Macaca fascicularis: one gene and its partners. Each later gene encodes a partner of the first gene's protein in a complex. Links are inferred from orthologs where the notes say so. Each region holds a gene or a part of one and is shown in the gene's direction. Other genes may lie near its edges.

Region 1 (4,992 bases):
AAACTGCGGCCTGGGAAACTGGTTAGGTAACTAAGGCAATATGCAATACTTGAAATGATAGTGGCCTGAAACAAGATAATGGTGGTGGCTATAAAGAGGAATTTGATACATTAGAGAGATATTATAGAGCCAGAAGCAAAGGCACTCAGTAATGGATTGGAAGTGTGGGGCAAAGGAGAGAAAAAAAATCACGGAAGTCATTAGCTACAAAAAATCTTTAAAATGTATTGATTTCTCTAGGAGTGGTGGCTCACACTTGTAATCCCAGCACTTTGGGAGGCCAAGGTGGGAGAATCACTTGAGGCCAAGGTTCAAGATCAGCCTAGGCAACATAGCAAGCCCGTTTACCAACAACAACACAAAAAATTTAAGAAAATAAAAAAAAAGTATTGACTTCTATTGGTTTGCCAAATGAAGTTTTAGTATTAAATCCAAAATTGAGTCAGAACAGCGAACTGAGGCAGCCATCTTCATCTTCTCCCTCTTTTTTTCAGTTTGTTTTGAAATTTAGTTTTATATACTTAAGACTTACCTTCTGGCAATTTGGAATTAAATTTCTGAGATTGCTGTAAATTATTTCCGTTCTTTGTTTCTCTTCCTCTTTCTTACTTCCCTATTTTATTTTAAATATTTTATTGTTTTAGTTGAATGCTAAAACATCTTATCAGAACTTAGTTTTTAAATTTCTCCACCCAGAGAGCCGCGGAGCCTTTAAGTATCAGAAATTTGTCTCCTTGTCAGAATCTTCTAGATTTCCAGACGTTTCCAAGCCGCTACATATAAATGTTGGAGAAAAACGTGTAATTCTCATGTGTAAGTAGGCTCTTTTTTCAGCGGATACATTTAGCATTATAGTCAATTGTCATTTCCTTGCCTTAAAAGAAGCTGTTTTCATCGTAAAGGTGTTTTTTCACCACATAATTCAAATTTGCATAGGTACTTCATATTTTAAAAGGTGACTAACAGATATGTCACTTAAAAAAACAGTAACATTTAAACGACTGAGAAGGTAGGGCTCTAAAAAGTGAATGCGGTGGCGAGGGTGGGAGGGGGAAGAGGCAAACAGGTGCGAAATTCCCATCCCAAACTCCCTCCTACAAAGACCGAATGGCAACTTAGTTGTGCAGGAAGGTTCCTCCTTAGGAAGGGCAGACGGCCCGATCCGGAGCCGAGTGAACAGTGGTTCTTGCCGCAACCGCCACGCAGCCTCGCTGCCGCCCAAGCGCGGACACCTGGTTCCTGGGTCCCCCTGGTTCCTAGGTCCCCCGCGCGGAGCTCCGGACTCCTCGCCCCCTCTCCGAACAACTTTCTCCCTGCTTGAACTGATTCTCGCTGTTGGCAGACTGCACAGTCACAGCATCCAGCCGGAGAGGACCTGCTTCGTCGGGTCTGGAAACAACTACCGCGGCAAAGGAGGCCGTTTCGCCGTGGGAAGAACAACAACTCCAGGCTTGTCCCACGGCAGCCCCTCCCTGCGCCGCAAGGCGCCTTCCCCCGCCCCGGAGGCTCTGCGCCGCGGGCGGGGCGACCCCGGGGGTCGCGCGCCCTCTGCCGGAGCGCGCCCCCTCCCAGAGCGCGCGCCCGGCGGCCTGCCGCGGCCCCGGCGCCCCCGCCCCCTCGGGCGCTCCGTAGCCGTGACGTGCACGCCGCAGTGCCGGGGACTCGGCGGGGCGCCGGCCGGCGGGCGGAGACCGACTCGGGATCTGTCCGAGCAGGAAGCCAGCCGCAGCCCGGCTGCTGTCGCCGCCCCGTCCTGGTTCCCGTCCGCGTCGTCGCCCTCTTCACTGGCCCTCATCACTTCTCACTGCGCCCTCCAGCTTCACCCGCACAGGTAGCCCTGCCGCCGCGCACCTGCCTTTGCGCCTGCACCGGTGAGTGTCCCGGAGCCCCCGCTGCAGTGCGTCGGCGCCGGGGTCTCGCGGTCCCCGGCCCGGCCTTGCTCCCGGGCCTCCTGTAGCAGCTCCGGAGCCGACGCTTCTGTTCACTGCCCGAGGACGCGGGTGGGAGAAGCAGGTGATGGGTGGGCCCTGGGCAGCGGTGGGGCCGAGGTGGTTCTCGTTTCCACCGAGAGACAGTTTCCTTTCATGGGTTCTCATCACCAAGGTCCCTTTGTGTTTCTTCCCTGGCTCCCAGGTAGAAGCAGAGCACTCAGGTGCCTAACTCGGACTTGGACACTCCGTGATAGTTTTATTTTCTCTTTTGTAAACACGCTTAAAATTCAGCGCAGGGAGAGCGTAATTTGTTCTGAGATGTGAAGATCAAAGGATACCATTAATAGTCTAATCATGTAGGAGACCAGATTGAGACTTTCTAAAGCCTTATTCTTAGTCTCTAGGTAGTCCAGTACCTTGAATATGTCAATTTACGGATATGCTACTGAACAAGAACTTTTTTTGTTAATTTCCAAAAACTCCCGAAAACATTAAAATGCGCAAACTCTGGGATTTTAAGTAGAACATAATTTGATAGGGTTATTACTAGAACATCCATGTTTAAAAGTATTTCCGCACAGTTTAAAAAATTCATTACATCTTTTTTTTTTTTTTTTTTTTGAGACGGAGCCTCACTCTGGCGCCTAGGCTGGAGTGCAGTGGCGCGATCTCTGCTCACTGCAACCTCCACCTCACGGGTTCAAGCAGTTCTCTGCCACGGCCTCCCGAGTAACTGGGATTACAAGCGCCCACCACCACGCCCGGCTAATTTTTTTTGTATTTTTAGTAGAGACGAGGTTTCACCATCTTGGCCAGGCAGGTCTTGAAATCCTGACCTCATGATCCACCCGCCTCGGCCTCCCAAAGTGTTGGGATTACAGGCGTGAGCCACTGCGCCTGGCCAAAAATTCATTACATCTTATCTGGCATAAAGTGATGTGGTGGAGGGATGCTTAAATCCTGATTTACAAGTATTAGTGAGAAATGAGGAGTACTGCCCTAACTTAATAGACTGTACGGGCTAAACAAGACTCTTTTTTTTTTTTTTAATGCTCTGGTGGTATAGAGGCAGTCTAAATAAAGTCAGAATTTGAGAGTTTTAAAAATTAACATTTTTTTTTTGAGGCAGAGTCTCGCTCTGTCGGCTCACTGCAACCTCCACCTCCCGAGTTCAAGCGATTGCCCTGCCTCAGCCTCCCAAGTGGCTGGGACTGCAGGCTCACGCCACTGCTCAGCTAATTCTTGTATTTTTAGTAGGGACGGGGTTTCACCATGTTGGCCAGACTGGTCTCGAACTCTTGACCTCAAGTGATCCACTTGCCTCGGCCTCCCAAAGTGCTGGGATTACAGGTGTGAACCCCCGCGCCTGGACTAAAAATTAACACGCTTAAGGTTTAGCTGAAATTTATCTTCACACCATAAAACGTGAATCTTGAACTTGGACTGGTAGTGGTCATGGTACAAAGGTTGGCGGCAAAACAGCATTTCTGTACAAATTAACTGAATTTCCTAGATGTCTTGAGTTGTGGTTTTCAAACTGGAGAATGTTTAGTGAAAAAATTACCTTTGTGCCTTTTGCCCTTAATTGTAGAAACCGCCGCAAATGTTACAAAGTGGGCTGTAGCCAGAGCTCGAAACCATGCCGCCGTTCAAAATAGCTCACCGACTTTTATATATACAGCTCATTTTGAGTATTTTACGTTACTTAGGAATTGCATCCACATTGGTAAACAGAAGTCATTTTAGTCTTATGTACATTTACCTACTACTTTTGTATTTTGTGTGTGTGACATACTGTTTATCATTCTCTCATCTTTGTAAGTTACAATTTTGTTTTCAGAAACCATTGTAAATGTCAGTAACAGAAGTATGAATGACATTTAAGGAAAGATCATGATTAAAAACTGTATAAATATATAAAACTATGTATGGTGTACATGTATATTCTCGGTTAGTGCCCAGAAACATGAGCAAGAAAAATGTAATGAACAATTACAATATTTAACGTAAATTAATGCAATTAAATATTGTATTAAAAACAAAAGATCGTAAATCATAACCAGTAGGGATTATCTGAAATGGATTTTTTTCCCTGTTTATGTTTACATGGTCAAGTTTTAAAATAACAGTGGCCAGGAAATCTGAGAGAGGCTGAAGGCTCTGTTCTCATCCTGTTGTGACTTTGCCTGGAGTCTGTGGTGTATCATGTAGCCCATTGTTTAGACAACCCGGCTGTATCTGGGTTCCAAAATGTAGCTTTCTTTAGAAAATTTTAAAGACTTTGACCATGTGAGGCTTGAATGGATACAAACATCCAAACATTTGAAAAAAACTAACCCATTTTAACTTTCTGTTGATAGTTGAAGCTCCATTTTTGACATGTAAAATATCACTTTTAAGAAGAGTTTACTAACCTCTGTGTAGTTTTCATTTTTATATATTAAAATATCTTATCTAAAAATAAAATATTTAAAAGTGTTATAACTTAAATACATCTCAGAGTTTATTTATTCATTTTTTTTTTCCTCTCAGTTGGAGTCTTGCCCTGTCACCCAGGCTGTGCAGTGGCACGATTTCGGGTCTCTGTAACCTCAGTCTCCTGGGTTCAACTGATTCTCCTGCCTCAGCCTCCTGAGTAGCTGAGATTACAGGTGCCCATCACGACACCTGGCCAATTTTTGTATTATTAGTAGAGATGGGGTTTCACCATGTTGGCCAGGTTGGTCTCAAACTCCTGAGCTCAAGTGATTTTCCTGCCTTGGCCCCCCAAAGTGCTGGGATTGCGGTCTCATAGAGTTTAGTTATGATCCCCATAATGAGATATTTCATGGTAATTTGTGAACCGGCCCTTTACTACTATCAGATTGTTGCACATTTATTAGGCATCTACCATAATTGGACAGATCACAGATTGAGGGGCTTGATCTACAAAATAATTTTCTAGGCTAATGGTCTTGTCCTTACACAGATGAGGAAGTCTAGGCTCAAAGAATTAAATGCTTGCTCCAGAAGGGCAAAGTCTGGATTCACACCTGAGTCATTTGGCCACGAAGCCCGTGTT
Region 2 (4,234 bases), on another chromosome or scaffold:
CTACAGCCATGACCAACTCGTAGAGCTGGGGGCTTGTCATTCTAGACTTTTGGCTGCTGGGGTGGGGGCAGAGTCCTGCACACTGTGGGAGCACCCACATTAGAGGTGTTGTACACGCATCAGACCCATCACATCAGTGCAGCTTAAAGGCGGAGCTACTGCGTGTGCTGGTGAAGAAGACACGGATGCATGATGGAGAAAAAAGTGAAGCTTAACTTTCCCAATAAGCGTCCTCAGGACCCGCTTTATGTATCATTTGAACTCATTCTAACCCTAACCTATTTGAAGAGAAACTTCCGTGACTTGTTTTCTCTTAGCAAGTTGTGAAATCACCCCCCAGAGTTACAAATATTACTAGAAAATGTTGCTAACTGGACAAAATTATTAACACATTGCCTGTTTACCCCAAGGATACTCTTGTCTCTAATCCTAATGTAACATCATATACATTTCTGTTACATTAGGATTGGAGACGAGTTCTGTTTAGAAATAACTCCAAGAACAGTTTTTATGTTTTATTTTCATGTTAAAAATAGTCAGGTTTACTTCAGCCTCAAAGAGCGTGTTTATGTAAAATTAAATGAGTGCTGACAGCGAGCTGCACTTTTTTTTTCTGAATGGGTTAAAAGTGTGTAAAAAATTGTAAAAGCACCTTATGATCCAAAAAATTGTCTAACTCAGTTACGATTTTAACCAGTTGCCTGTAGTCTAGCATCTATGTGGATTAAGATGCTAATTACTCCTAATTCAAGAAGGTGCTTGCTAAACAAAACTAATCTTTGTTTAATTCAAGAGTCCCCTTTTGTCTCTTGGGACATGTGAAGACATCAGGTGTGCAGTGATGTTACTCCCAGGCTCCTTTGTAATTAAGTCTGATTTGGATGCAGGGGGTTTGTGATCAGTAGTTTTTCCACTCACTCATACCAAGAGTATTCATTAAGTCAGCCAAATAGATCAAACATTTTGCAGGTTTTGGAAGGTGTCAATGAACCATAGTGGATATACTACTTGTCTCTACATTCTATTTCTTCGTCTGTAAAAGCAGGGGTATTGATATCTACCTATGGCAAAAAATTAAGTTAGCAATATATGTTCAATGCTTGGCACTTATTAGGTAGTCTATAAATGGTAGCTACTATCACAATCATGAATGTATATAGTGACACTCTGAAATCAACTATAACTCAGCCACATGATTTACAATGTACCAGCATTTCTCAAAACGTAAAAAGGTGGCCGGGCGCGGTGGCTCAAGCCTGTAATCCCAGCACTTTGGGAGGCCGAGACGGGCGGATCACTAGGTCAGGAGATCGAGACCATCCTGGCTAACACGGTGAAACCCCGTCTCTTCTAAAAAATACAAAAAACTAGCCGGGCGAGGTGGCGGGCGCCTGTAGTCCCAGCTACTCAGGAGGCTGAGACAGGAGAATGGCCCGAACCCGGGAGGCGGAGCTTGCAGTGAGCTGAGATCCGGCCACTGCACTCCAGCCTGGGCGACAGAGCGAGACTCCGTCTCAAAAAAAAAAAAAACGTAAAAAGGTTCTTCAGTCAAATAAATCTTGGAAGCTTTCGTATCGATCTTTTCCTGGGCATCCCCAGTATGCATGAGGGTATTAAACACGCTACAAGGTCCCACAGCATAAGATCCTTATACCAATGGCCTTCCCCAACCTAACCTCTTTGAGGAGACTACAGCTTTATTGAAAATGTTTCCCCAAGCCCAATTCCTTGGAACCCTTTGACCATTGAAAACCTGCCCACATCCCTTGGAACAAGTGCTAAATCTGAGTTTCATATTCAAGGTGAGGGACACGGCAAGGACTATCCTTAGAAGAGCCTGAGACACCAAAACAGACAGAAACAAGACAAAATCCCAGTCCTTTAGGAGGAGAAAGAGGGCAGAAGCCTCCTAAGAGATAGAGAGAGGGCGGAATCCCAGTCCTCCGAGGAGGAGAGAGGGCAGAATCCCAGTCCTCTAAGGGGAGAGAGAGAGAGGGCCTGCAGCCTCCCTCCTCCTCCTGTGGGGAGCCACCCTCCAGGGCCTCGTTAGCTCCCGTGTTAGACCCAGGAGATGCTGGAGCCTTCCAGCCACACTTGGTGGCTCATTTCCCCTCAGTTCATTTCCTTTCGGCTTCTCCCTGCACCAGGCTCCCCGGTGTAGAGATGGTCACGGTTGGTAGTGCCTCTGTGAGGGGTCTGTAGGAGGGGTGGGGCAGGTCTCTAGTGCAGGGCTGTCACTGTGGGAGCCAGGAGGGAGGCTGCCTAGAGAGTCTGCTAGGAGGTGGGCTCCCTGGTGCTGCACCCAGGATTGGTGGTACTGGGTTCTGTCCCTGTGAGTGACATGGGCTCCAAACCCCTGGCTTCTCTCATCACGACCAACCGTGTGTTTCAGATTGGGAAGCTGCGCAGTGAGCTGGAGATGGTGAGTGGGAACGTGAGGGTGATGTCGGAGATGCTGACGGAGCTGGTCCCCACCCAGGTCGAGCCTGCAGACCTGGAGCTGCTGCAGGTGAGCAGATGGCACCACCCCGTGGGGCTCAGATGACTCCTGCCCAGTTGCCCACGTGCGTTCTTTCCCAGTCCTCATGACGGTCTTCATGGCTTACTCCATACTCCTTGGTCACAGTTGGGGCCATGTTACCACCAGGGACTTTGGACGCCATCAGGTTGGAATCAGACCGCAGCTCTACCACTTTCTGGTTTGAACAAAGTAGCCCCCCCTTGCCTCAGTTTCCTCATCTGTAAGGTTGCTCTAACAATAGCCTTTATGGCACAAGTTTGATGTGAGAGTTAAATAAGGCATTGCATGGAAAACACCCAGGCTTGTCCCTGGCATCCAGTACGGGGTCCTGAGAAAAAGCTGGAAGGTGAGATTTCCACCATTCACAATCCGAGACTCAGCAGGCAGGTGTGAGAGGCTGGTGCCAGCCTTGAGGTGCGCCAGCCACTGGTCTTGGGGAGCCGAGGCAGGTGGAGCTAATGGTGCCTGCTCCCGTGTGTCACGTGGTATTGCCATGGCCCCAGCCCAGATTGGGGGTCACTGGAGCGGAAGGGGCACTGAATTTGGCAAAAAGCACCCTCCGCGTGGAGGTCGGTCATAGAGGCACCAAGAAAGCTAGGAATCCCCAAGGCCCAGGAGTCACCAGAATTCATGAGGGGACGGAGTGCTTTGTGTAACTGTGTGAGTTCCTGCTGCTTGTCCACCAGGCCTCAGACTCCTTGAGGGCAGCGCTGTGTCTTCCTCGCCACCGTGTCTGTGTGCCTGACCGAGCCGACTGTGCAGGGGTCCTCACTTGGTGGTGCAGGGTGGGGAGAAAAGGAGCAGCCTCAGAGTCGAATGAATACGCAAACTTGAAACCCAGTAAGGGCTCCGGAAGAGAGAAGACTGCGCAGGCAGCTTCGTACGCCCCAAGCCAAGGCCGTGAGGTGTGAGCAGTTTGGGGACTCAGAAGGCTGAGCAAGGTGGACGCAGAGACAGCTCCCATGCATTGGGCACTTCCCCTGCCCCGAGCTGTATGTGGACAGTTGGTTCACATCACTCACGTAATCCTCACCACCCCCATTTTCCAGGTCAGGAAACAGGCATAGGGAGATCAGATAACACGTCAAGGGTTATATGGCTGGTAAATAGCAGAGCTGCGATTTGAACCTGGCTCCAAGTGCTGCTCTTCTGCTCTTGAGAGGAGCCAGCAGGGAAGCAGAAGCAGAGCCACCCTGTGCTTAGTCATGAGAGCAGGAGGGGAGCCCACAGGATGTTGAAAGGACCCGCCCTGCCCCCGTGCTAAGGGCAATGAGGAAATCCCAGAGGCCTGACCTTGGAGGGGGCGGGGGACAGGGTCCACATGACAGCCAAAATAAACACTGGGCAGTGCCTAGCCTCAGCGTTGCCTCCAGGAGAAAGGCATGCTGGCGTGAGGCCGCAGTCGGCAATGCCAGGCAGCTCCCTGGACCTCAGGACCCAAGCACCTGCCCTGACCCAGGCACCTTCACCTGGTGACAGGTACCTGAAGAAACAATTGAGCAATCTTAAAAATGAAAACCCGTATGTCTATGGTTTTTTATTTTTTATTTTTTATTTTTTTTTGAGACGAAGTCTCACTCTGTCACCCAGGCTGGAGTGCAGTGGGTGCGATCTTGGCTCACTGCAGCCTCTGCCTCTTGGTCAAGCTATTCTCCTGCCTCAGCCTCCCAAGCAGCTGGGATACAGGCATACGTGACCACACCTGGCTGATTT
Region 3 (4,799 bases), on another chromosome or scaffold:
TGATCCGCCAGCCTCCACCTCCCAAAGTGCTGGGATTACAGGCATGAGCCACCGCGCTGGGCTCCTAAGGAATTCTTTTTTTTTTTTTTTTTTTGAGACGGAGTCTCGCTCTGTCACCCAGGCTGGAGTGCGGTGGCCGGATCTCAGCTCACTGCAAGCTCCGCCTCCCGGGTTCACGCCATTCTCCTGCCTCAGCCTCCCGAGTAGCTGGGACTATAGGCGCCCGCCACCTCGCCCGGCTAGTTTTTTGTATTTTTTAGTAGAGACGGGGTTTCACCGTGTTAGCCAGGATGGTCTCGATCTCCTGACCTCGTGATCCGCCCGTCTCGGCCTCCCAAAGTGCTGAGATTACAGGCGTGAGCCACCGCGCCCGGCCTAAGGAATTCTTAAGACTCTCCTCCCCCAGTACATCTGCTAACCTTAAGTTGAGAAACACGGATTTTCTGGACTGAATTGATGTGAGAGGTGAGGGAAAAGGAAAAATCCTGATACAACGACTCCACAATGTCTGGTCTGGGAGTGCTTGGTGATCCTATTATCAGAAAGAAAAGAAAAGAAAAGAAAAGATACATTCAGGAGAAATGATGAGGTCAGTTTTGTTTAGTCTCAATTTGAGTTTCCTACAGTACATTCCCTTTCTGGTAGAATAAGCTGGAGGTGGAGATATTTGGTAGACAGCAACCTCTGTGAAACTGAGAATGTTGATGTGGTCATACAGGAAGAACATGCAAAGCTAAGTAAGAAGGGAAGATAGTGGAGGAAAAACTGTCGGTGAATACAATTCCTGGAGAGTAGCAGTTAGCAAGGAGCAGGGTGGAGGATGGGGAGAGGAGAGGTAAGTAAGCTAAAATAGGACAAAATTTAAGAAGAATAAAATGGGCAACGCAGATCAAGTAAGATAAAGACCTAAAATAATTACTTGTGTTTGGTAATTAAGATATGATAGTGATTTCACTCCACTGAAATTGCATAGTAAGTGAAATTTCAGTAGAGTGTGGGGGCAAAGTCTGATCACAGTGCGTCTAAGAGCAGAGAAGAAGTGAGGAAATTTCGTAGCTAATAATTCAAGACTGTTCTGCTTTGTTGTAAAAAACGTAGTTGGAGGGGACTGGACTTGAAAACAATGCAATAAACGCGGGGTGGGGAATTGAGGGAACTCATACTTCACACCGAATGGCTTCAATTTTCTTTGTACTATATGAGGTAAGGTCCTCTGTAGAGACTAAGAAGGGCAGAGCTGGGGCAAATGACTTTGGAGGCGTGCTGAATGTTGGGAGAGGAAGCGGCCCAGGAAATAGGCAAAAGGAAAACTCAGAGGGGCCGAGGACCCGGCTGAGGGTGTTTATGAATTCGACGTAGCACCAAGCTCAAGGTTATGTGACTTTCTCTTCCAATTCTGCCCTGCAGAGTGTAAGACGCAGAAAATGCAGACGAAGGTTGACTTCTACTTAAATCCCTATCCCCAAAAGCCCAGACGTACGGACTCGAAGGCCTATGGCCAGATCGTGCCTGGGTGCCTACTACAGATTTATGAAAAGCACCTAAGGGCCAGCGTGTTTGCCTTCTAAGGCGTACTGTTCCGCAGCGTCGGCATCCTCAGGCCTTCACGGAAATCGAGCCATTTTTTACAAGGAGTGGGGATAAACCTGGTGATCGGATGAGGGACTACGCGTAACTTTCTTTCTCTCCAGATCCATCCCGGAGGAGGCTGGGCGGGCGGACGGGCGGGCGGCTGCTCCGGTCCAGGGGTGGAGGTCGAGGCCCCGACCCGACGCAGCCAGGCGGAAGCGCGGCTGCCATTGGCCCAGAGGCTGCTTTTACCTGCGCGGGGCCCGGGGCGCAAAGTCCGAGGCGCCGGCGGGGAGGAGGCGGCGGCCGGCAGTGCAGGTGGGCCCGCGCCCTCGGCCCTGCAAGATGCCCCTGAGGCTACGGGGGAAGAAGAAGGCCAAGTCCAAGGAGACCGCCGGGCTGGTGAAGGGCGAGCCGACGGGCGCGGGCGGCGGGAGCCCCTCAGCGTCCCGGGCTCCCGCACGCAGGCTGGTCTTCCACGCGCAGCTGGCGCACGGGAGCGCCACGGGCCGAGTGGAGGGCTTCTCCAGCATCCAGGAGCTCTACGCCCAGATCGCGGGCGCGTTTGAGATTTCGCCGTCGGAGGTAAGGCGTCAGGTGCTCACGCTCTCCCGCCTCTCCGCCGCGCCGCGCGGACTTTGGTGGGCCTAGGAGGGTTGAGCGGCGCTTCCCGGAGCGCGAAATCCATGCCGTGTTGAGTCCGCCGGGGGCGTCCCGAGGGGAAGTGAGTGGGCCTTCCCGGGAAGGGAAAAGGTAAGTTGGCACGACCGGAGGAAGTCACCTTCCCCCTTGCTCCGAGATCTGGCCTTTGGGAAGCGGGTTGGGGGAGGCAACCTTTCTTCCGCTTGTAAATGTGTTTGCTCCAGATGTCCCGGATTCCGGCGGCCGTTCAAGGTGTGAGTACCTTCCCAGACTAGCGATCTGGCGGGGCAGGTTAATACCCTCCACCTCATCTGGACGTTACTCTCCTGTTTCCTCCGCAGGCGTGAGAGTCACGCAGGTCATCTCCCCAGATTAACGGAAAAAAAAAATTGAAGTGCCTTCCAGGTGATACCCAGATTAAATGGGGGGAAAAATTGAAGAGCCTTCCAGGTAATACGAAACGGAGGCCCACTTTCCCCCAATCTGTCATTTCTAACATCAACACCAGAAATCCTTGGGTGGTATTTCCAAGAAGTTTAAAAAGCTGGGCTGTTATTCCAAGAGTGGATAACCTAGAGATTCATACTTAATCCCATGGGACTAGTTAACAAAATTTTCATGAGGAAAATCAGCTCTTTTACATCATATCCTTAAAACGGGACTGAAATTTGCTTTAATTAGATTGCATGCGGGCCTGGAACTAAGTTTGACACAGGCATGACCGAAAGCACTAGTTTATGCGAACGTTTATGTGATCACTTTATTTGTGCTAACCCAAGTGAACTGCAAAGGTAGGTGTGAGAAGTTAGCTCAACAAAATATTTTGTCCACATTTCTAGGAAAAGCACATAATTTTGTTGCCCTGGACTCGCAGTAGTGCAGAGAGCTGTCTTTAAGTGGCATACAGCGGCACCTGGAGTTCTTTAATTAGTTGTTTATCAGGTCTGTTCAAGGGAAATCGAGGTCAAGGCAAAATTCCAAGAGGAGACGAAAGACCTTAAAGTGTAACCCTTTGTTCTTTCGAAGTTCCCAGGTACTAAGGGGCAAATCGTAAACCCATCTGTGAATTATTTGTATTGATATAGGTTACTAATAATAATACTTTACATTTATGTAGGATTTTTTTTTTTTTTCAAAAAACACTTTCACAGGACACTTTCCTTTGATCTCTAGGGGAGGCAGGTGGCAGGTTAAACGCGATAACTTGGACATGGACCCAGGTTCTACCATTTATGAGCTGTGTGGACTTGAATGAGTTTAACTTCTCTCAGTTTTAGCCATCTATAAAATAGAGATTAGAATACTTGTCTTGAAGAGTGTTGTGAAGAGTGGAGTCTGCATGTAAACGTATCAGATTGCATAGTTTATCAGGGCTTAATACATGGTAACTAAAATTATTAATACCTAACAGTTAAATGAAGGGCTGAAGTGCAAAGTGATTGGCCCTTAGCCAAGGTCACATACCTAGCAAGAAAAAAAACTGGGCTGTAATTTAAACTTGGATCTTCTGATTCCTAAGCTAGTGAGCTTGTTAGTATACTTAACTGACAGCTTTAAATGTCTTTCCTGTAACCAGGGACTTCAGTTTTAGTTACAGATGGTCCTGGGTTTATGATAGTTAGACTTAAGATTTTTGACTTTGCCATGGATTTATTGGGATGTAACTTCCTGGACTTAAGATTTTTCCACTTTCTGGGTTTATTGGGGTATTAAATGCATTTTCACCTTATGGTATTTTTGACTCACAATGGATTTATTGGGACATAACACCTTGGTAAGTAGAGGAGTATCTGTATTTTGCATTAACACTTCTCCTCATCATTATATATGACATTATTCTGAGCTCAGGGTACATGATTTTATTCAATCTACTTAATCCCTAAGAAGTAAGTATTATTATTAATATCTCCACTTTACAGAGAGGAAACAGACTTTGAGGTTCAGAATTTTTTCAGAATTACACGTAGCAAGTGGCAGAGCCTGGATTTGAACTCAGTGTATTCTTTTTTTTGTTTTCTGTTTTTCTTTCTTTTTTTTTTTTAATGAGATGGGGTCTCACTCTGTTGCCCAGGCTGGAGTACAGTGGTGTGATTGTAGCTCACTGCAGCTTCTAACTCCTAGGCTCAGGCAATCCTCCTGCTTCAACCTCCCAAGTAGCTGGGACTACAGGCATGTGCCACCACATCTGCCTAATTAAAAACCTTTTTTTTAGAGATGTGGTTTTTCTACGTTGCTCAGGGTGGTTTGAACTCCTACTCTCAAGGGATCCTCCTACCTCAGTCTTTTGAATAGCACAGACATGGAGCCATTGTGCCCATCTTTTTTTTTTTTCCCTCCCATGAAGATATATTGTTTCCCAAGTTTTCCAGAGTCTCAGCAATAGTTTGGTAGCCACTTTCAACATTTTCAGTGTACTGACTTGCAAGGTCAGTTTCCAAGATAATGTACACGAGGTGTTTTCACGTGTTACCTCAAAGTTTATAACATTTTATAACTCCAGTATATATGTATTTTATCATGTTTATGCATGTAACCAACATTAATGCAAGTTTTCCATCTGTATAAAAAAAGTTAATCATATGCAGGAT
Region 4 (4,994 bases), on another chromosome or scaffold:
GTGAAACCATCTGTAAATACATCAGCTATTCCTCCAATTCTGAGTGTATACATGTTTGTTGCTTTTGCATAATATGTAATGCCTCCTCTAGCAAGGGAATCACAGGAGAGCTTCTCCCAAAGTCATGCATTTCCCCAGAAAGAATGCTGTCTGTTCCAGAGCTACTACTGTTGTGAGCAACTAAAAGTTGTCTTCCTTGGGCTCTCTCATAGTGGTCCCTGCCCCTCTCTTCCTCATGAGACTATGTCAAGGCTAATGTGAAAATACTTCATGCACTGTTGAAAATGTATGTTAGGGATGAGCACAAAACAACAGACAGGGGAAACAGAATCAATTGCAGACCCTAACATTTTAACTTTCTTAAATGTTTTTCTTCAATACTTTCCTATAGCTCGTACTTTAAATGACTTTAAAATTATGCTTTAAGTAAACATAGGCTTTAAATAGTTTTTATTTGCTTCATTTTTCCTTCATAACTATCCCTTTTTTTTGTCATCAAAGATATGTGCGTTTTTTTTAAAAAAAAAAAACTTTCTTGTCCCCTGCTATCTCTGGAAGCTTCTTGTTGACCTCTGGCTGGTTTTTTAGTTTCTTTTTTTGGCTTTTCATTTCTTAGGGGGGTGGTGGTGGTGGTGAAGGAGGTCTTCTGGTGGCCCCTGCATCAGCGCACCCCCTCAACATGAGCATGATTAACTGGAATCACTGTTATTTCTACGGTGTAGACAAAATCAGCCATGTAGCTATTAACATCTCCCCGATTTAAAAAGAAACACTGAACTTTCTTTTTCCTGCTGTCCTTAGCGAGGAAAGGTGTAAACACAAGAGACTGTAGCTAGTATCTTGGAAGTCCCCAGGAGACAGGCGTTTCCTCTTGGTCACTGACTCCCTGGGTGACTGACGCCCCTTGAACAGCAGGGCCACCGTGTTTCCCTTTGAAGCAAGTGATCCTTAAGGAATTTTCCAGGTTTAGTAACTTCTGTCTAGCTCTGAAAAGACGTAATGGCTGCAAAAGTGCTTCGTTGAAGAAAATAAGATATATTCATTTTTAAATAAAAATACTTATGGGCGAGAAAAATCGGAGTGGACTTGATCAATTACAGTAAATCTGTGGGCTCTAAGGGAGCAAATAATCCAGGCTGGCTGAAAGAGTTAAATATTTTAAATTTATAAAGCCAGGGCAAACACATAAAAGGATTCAATCTTCTTCTTCTTCTTCTTCTTCTTCTTCTTCGTTTTTTAAGGATTCAATCTTCTAACAATCCCGGGAGGGGGGCAAGAGCAGGGTTCTTGTTTCCATTTTAAGAATGAGGAAACTGAGGTTCAGAAAGCCTAAGTGGCATGCCTCTTTAGTAATCGGCCAATCGTCGCCGCCTAACTTCACCTCACCTCCCAGTACAGCACTCGAGTCCCCTCAGGGGTGGCCGTCCCTGGTCAGTCCAGCTCCAGCAGGCCGGGACGGTAGGACGTTCCCTGTCAGGCAGCACTTCCGCCTCCCGGGGCCCGTGCAGCTCACCTCCTTCACCTCCCGCGCTACCCCAGTCACGAGTTGTTTTCGGGGGCCCGCCCCTCCACTTGCTGATTGGGTAGCTCCTGAACCATTGCTGTCCTCTGATTGGTTGTTCCTTTTTTGGCTCTCCAACACCGCCTAGACCGACCGGATACACTGGTAGGGCTTCCGCTTCCCCCTTCTCCCTCCTCCCGCTTGTCCTCCTCTCCCAGTCGGCACCACAGCGGTGGCTGCCGGGTGTGGTGTCGGTGGGTCGGTTGATTTTTCTCTCACCGTTGGTGTCCGTGCCGTTGAATTGCCCGCCATGGCTGAGCTGGATCCATTCGGCGCCCCTGCTGGCGCCCCTGGCGGTCCCGCGCTGGGGAACGGAGTGGCCGGCGCCGGCGAAGAAGACCCGGCCGCGGCCTTCTTGGCGCAGCAGGAGAGCGAAATTGCGGGCATCGAGAACGACGAGGCCTTCGCCATCCTGGACGGCGGCGCCCCCGGGCCCCAGCCGCACGGCGAGCCGCCGGGGGGTCCGGGTGAGAGTGCGGTCGCGTTTGGGGCGAGAGGACTTGTCTGGAAACTCGGCCCACAGTGGGTCCGAGAGGTTCTGTGTGACTTGTGCTCCTTGCTGAATTAGGAGGTTAGGGAGCAGTGCGAAGAGGAAACGAGACCCTGGCCCAGTCATGCAGAAACCTAGGCTCGAGAAGCCTGCTCGGTTCTCAGCGTGTTTGAGTGCTTCTGGGCGCGGGCGGAGCGAGAAAGCAAGTATAGGGTGGCAGGCTTCGGAGCCGGAAGAAGCCCGTTCAATTCAGCAACTTTTCATTAAGCACTTGCTGTGCCTTTAGTCCGGTCTCTGAAGCAACCGCATTGGCGCAGTTTTTCCAGACTTATAAGCAAGTCTGAGCCGAGCACAGAACTCCAGTTATTAGAAAAGGAGGGCAGAAAAAAAATAAGAATGGAAATACTGTTTTTTGAGAGATACAAACAAAAGTAGCAATGCAGTTCAGCATTTAAGCACTTAAGGTGTACAGAGTGTTGGATTACGAGGAGGAAGGAGTGAGTAGGGAACTCAGGAAAGATGGTCTAGGTCTGGAGAAAGAACTGCCAAGCGGGATAGGAGTTTACCATGGTTGAGCGATTGATTTACAGCTAGGACTTACGGAGCTCTCCCTCTGGGAACAGCTTTGGTAGGCAATAGTGCCTAAGTAGAACCCACGATTAGCCTAAACCAATCGGGGAGGGATGAAGAGGTGAATAGAGAATGTTCTCAGCCAAACTCAAGTAAAAATGGGGCAGGTAGGATGGCAGTTTGACTTTTGGATGCTTACCTGTGTGTGATCCTTAGGATCATGAGTGGAAAAGACCTATTTAATAATACAGAGAAGTAGGAAATTCAGCCAGAAGAAATGAAATATGGCTTTTCATTCACTTAAAAATTTCCAACTAAGGGAGAATAGCGCACTATTGGGGCATATAGGAGTAGTGTCTACACTAATCTGATTTCAAACCTTAAGGGGCCAAGTAGGTAACATATACGAGAGAAGCTGACTTGACATGAGACAGTAGAAGTGTTGGAGACTGGGACTTTGGTGCACTATAGTAGTGCTCTGTGTAAAGGCATTCAGACCCAGCAATCTCAAGTTACTATGCCAGCCAGGCAGAACCTTTCGATGGATGGATTGGGGAGGGTGCTGCTAGTTTGCAGCCTCTGAGTTTTTGACTGCACCATGTTGCTTCCTAAGCAAATCAGTCCCCTAATAAGAACTTAGTGGGAACATGTAATATGCCCAAATATGCAACTTTATAGCAAGTAGGTTGGACTGAACTGGACTGTGATTGCGAGATGAAGTTGGCCTTAAGTGATTAGGAGATATTTTCATTGGGTGGTCTCTAACATTTGTCTGAGAATTTTAAAATTGACTTCTTAGATCCTTAGTTTACCTTCCTCGTTTAGTAGAAGAGAAACAATCCTAGAGAGAAATAACTTGCTTTAAAAAGCACGAGTTAATAGATGAGCCCCAAGTCTACCACATTCTGTTGTAGTGTTTAGTTGTTTTAGCCGGGGTGTGGTGCGGTAAGAGACAGGCAGTTGTGGCTGTCCCAGGTAGAACAGATTTGGGAGAAGCAGGACCCAAGATCTATAGTTGGAAGATTGTCCTGATTCAAGGACAGTGTTACCCTTACTGTTTTATCTCCACTACTTAGCAGTGTGTCTGACATGTAGTAGATGCTCACGTTTGACAGAGAAATGGGCAAAAATGTCAGATCCAAGGGTCCTGTGTAGAACTGACAGATCTTGGTGACAGGCAGTTAGGGAAAGTAAAAGGAAGAGAATAGAGTTGGATACTTGCGTCCTTTGTGCATCAAGCCTTCAGCAAAGGGAAGGAAAGAAATGGTTGCTGACTTAGTTCCTAGGAAGGACTTTCTTAGTGAACTAAGCATTTGGTGACTTAAAGCCAGATTCCTGACAGTGTAATTGAGGTTGGTAATATGCAGTGGTCAGCATTTCCTTTGGGGATTAGAGAACTGATTGGACACTTTTTCTCTCTTAGTTTTCTTTTTCCTTCTTTCTTTTTTTTTAGGATATGCTCCAGTGGTTAAGATTCTATGCTATCCTAAACTGCTTGAGTGTGAGTTTAGCTTTGTGATCTCAATGTATATAACTACCACCACTGCCCGGCCTCAGTTTTCTCCTTTGTAAAAGTTGCATAATATAATTTATAATGCTATGTGGCATCTTTAGGATTACATTAAAGAGTGTCTATAAAGTGCTTACAGTTATATAGTAAGTATCCAGTGAATTCCAGCTACTGTTAGTGGGAGAAAGGAGTTACAAGGCCTTTAGGCTTTGAAGTGTACTGAGTAAATTGAGAGGTTTTAGGCGGGAGCTCTCTTTCTGATGTATTATACAGAGGTATATAGGCAGTCAGCTATGACAGATTGATGAGAGGAAACTAAACTGGCCCCCAGCCTTGCGGAATGCTCCTATGGAGGATGGGCACAGGCAAAAACCAGAGAGGTTAGGGCTGAGCCTTGGATGACTCCCTTGGTTGTTAAGAGATCCAGAAAAAGAGACATAGGTTTAGAGGCAGGAAGTAACCAGCTGGGTGAAGTGATATTGAGGTAACCAGCTGGGGGGGATATTGAGGAAGAACAGGTGGTCTTGAAGGAGGCAGCACAAGTAGAGCTGTTGAAAAGCTCTCAATCATGAGGGCTGAGTGGGGGAAGAGAACAGGAGAGACAGGCCACAGACAGAGTACTGCAGTGAGGCACTATTACGGTGTTTTGTTGATTTGAGACAGAGCCTCGCTCTGTCGCCCAGGCTGGAGTGCAGTGGTGTGATCTTGGTTTACTGCAACCTCTGCCTCCTGGGTTCAAGCAGTTCTCCTGCCTCAGCCTCCCAAGTAGCTGGGATTACAGGTGTGTACCACCATGTTCAGCTAATTTTTGTATTTTTCTTAGAGACGGGGTTTCACCATGTTGGCCAGGCTGGTCTCGAACT

What was found.
Region 2: the proteins of MYO6 (region 1) and TOM1 are in contact, whole or in part, in a crystal structure (PDB 6J56), measured with the Homo sapiens proteins. The link is inferred for Macaca fascicularis from reciprocal best matches to the Homo sapiens genes MYO6 and TOM1. Residues at the interface, in NP_001355794.1 of Homo sapiens: Ile1182, Phe1184, Trp1202, Gln1214, Glu1216, His1218, Asp1220, Lys1221, Pro1222, Ile1224, Leu1226, Glu1234, Met1235, Cys1236, Leu1238, Glu1242, Thr1243, Gly1244, Leu1245, Arg1247; in NP_005479.1 of Homo sapiens: Ser440, Glu441, Phe443, Phe446, Leu447, Arg450, Ala451, Ala453, Ala454, Asp455, Leu457, Pro458, Asn459, Leu460, Ser461.
Region 3: the proteins of MYO6 (region 1) and GIPC2 are in contact, whole or in part, in a crystal structure (PDB 5V6H), measured with the Mus musculus proteins. The link is inferred for Macaca fascicularis from reciprocal best matches to the Homo sapiens genes MYO6 and GIPC2. Residues at the interface, in NP_001034635.2 of Mus musculus: Ser1055, Lys1056, Trp1057, Lys1058, Tyr1059, Arg1084, Arg1085, Leu1086, Val1088, Tyr1089, Trp1092, Lys1093, Asn1096; in NP_058563.1 of Mus musculus: Glu255, Leu256, Tyr257, Met258, Gly259, Ile260, Asp262, Asp264, Leu265, Thr268, Thr289, Leu290, Asp292, Phe293, Ala294, Pro296.
Region 4: the proteins of MYO6 (region 1) and CLTA are in contact, whole or in part, in an NMR structure (PDB 6E5N), measured with the Homo sapiens proteins. The link is inferred for Macaca fascicularis from reciprocal best matches to the Homo sapiens genes MYO6 and CLTA. Residues at the interface, in NP_001355794.1 of Homo sapiens: Met1053, Thr1054, Pro1055, Met1058, Ala1059, Met1062, Ser1087, Trp1089, Lys1090, Tyr1091, Glu1113, Arg1117, Leu1118, Val1120, Tyr1121, Trp1124, Asn1128; in NP_009027.1 of Homo sapiens: Glu47, Asn48, Glu50, Ala51, Phe52, Ile54, Leu55, Asp56, Gly57, Gly58, Ala59, Pro60, Gly61.

The regions. Positions count from the first base shown.
Region 1 is NC_088378.1:99,369,619-99,374,610, reverse strand, and holds the start of MYO6 (unconventional myosin-VI), read left to right. Parts: upstream 1-1,686; 5' UTR 1,687-1,871; intron 1,872-4,992. UniProt on the Homo sapiens protein: Myosins are actin-based motor molecules with ATPase activity. Unconventional myosins serve in intracellular movements. Myosin 6 is a reverse-direction motor protein that moves towards the minus-end of actin filaments.
Region 2 is NC_088384.1:16,339,992-16,344,225, reverse strand, and holds part of TOM1 (target of Myb1 membrane trafficking protein), read left to right. Parts: exon of another isoform or gene 1-1,232; intron 1,233-1,539; exon of another isoform or gene 1,540-1,570; intron 1,571-2,392; coding exon 2,393-2,509; intron 2,510-4,234.
Region 3 is NC_088375.1:156,577,481-156,582,279, reverse strand, and holds the start of GIPC2 (PDZ domain-containing protein GIPC2), read left to right. Parts: upstream 1-1,848; 5' UTR 1,849-1,914; coding exon 1,915-2,154; exon of another isoform or gene 2,155-2,322; intron 2,323-2,552; exon of another isoform or gene 2,553-2,661; intron 2,662-4,799.
Region 4 is NC_088389.1:63,161,532-63,166,525, reverse strand, and holds the start of CLTA (clathrin light chain A), read left to right. Parts: upstream 1-1,717; 5' UTR 1,718-1,811; coding exon 1,812-2,028; intron 2,029-4,994. UniProt on the Homo sapiens protein: Clathrin is the major protein of the polyhedral coat of coated pits and vesicles.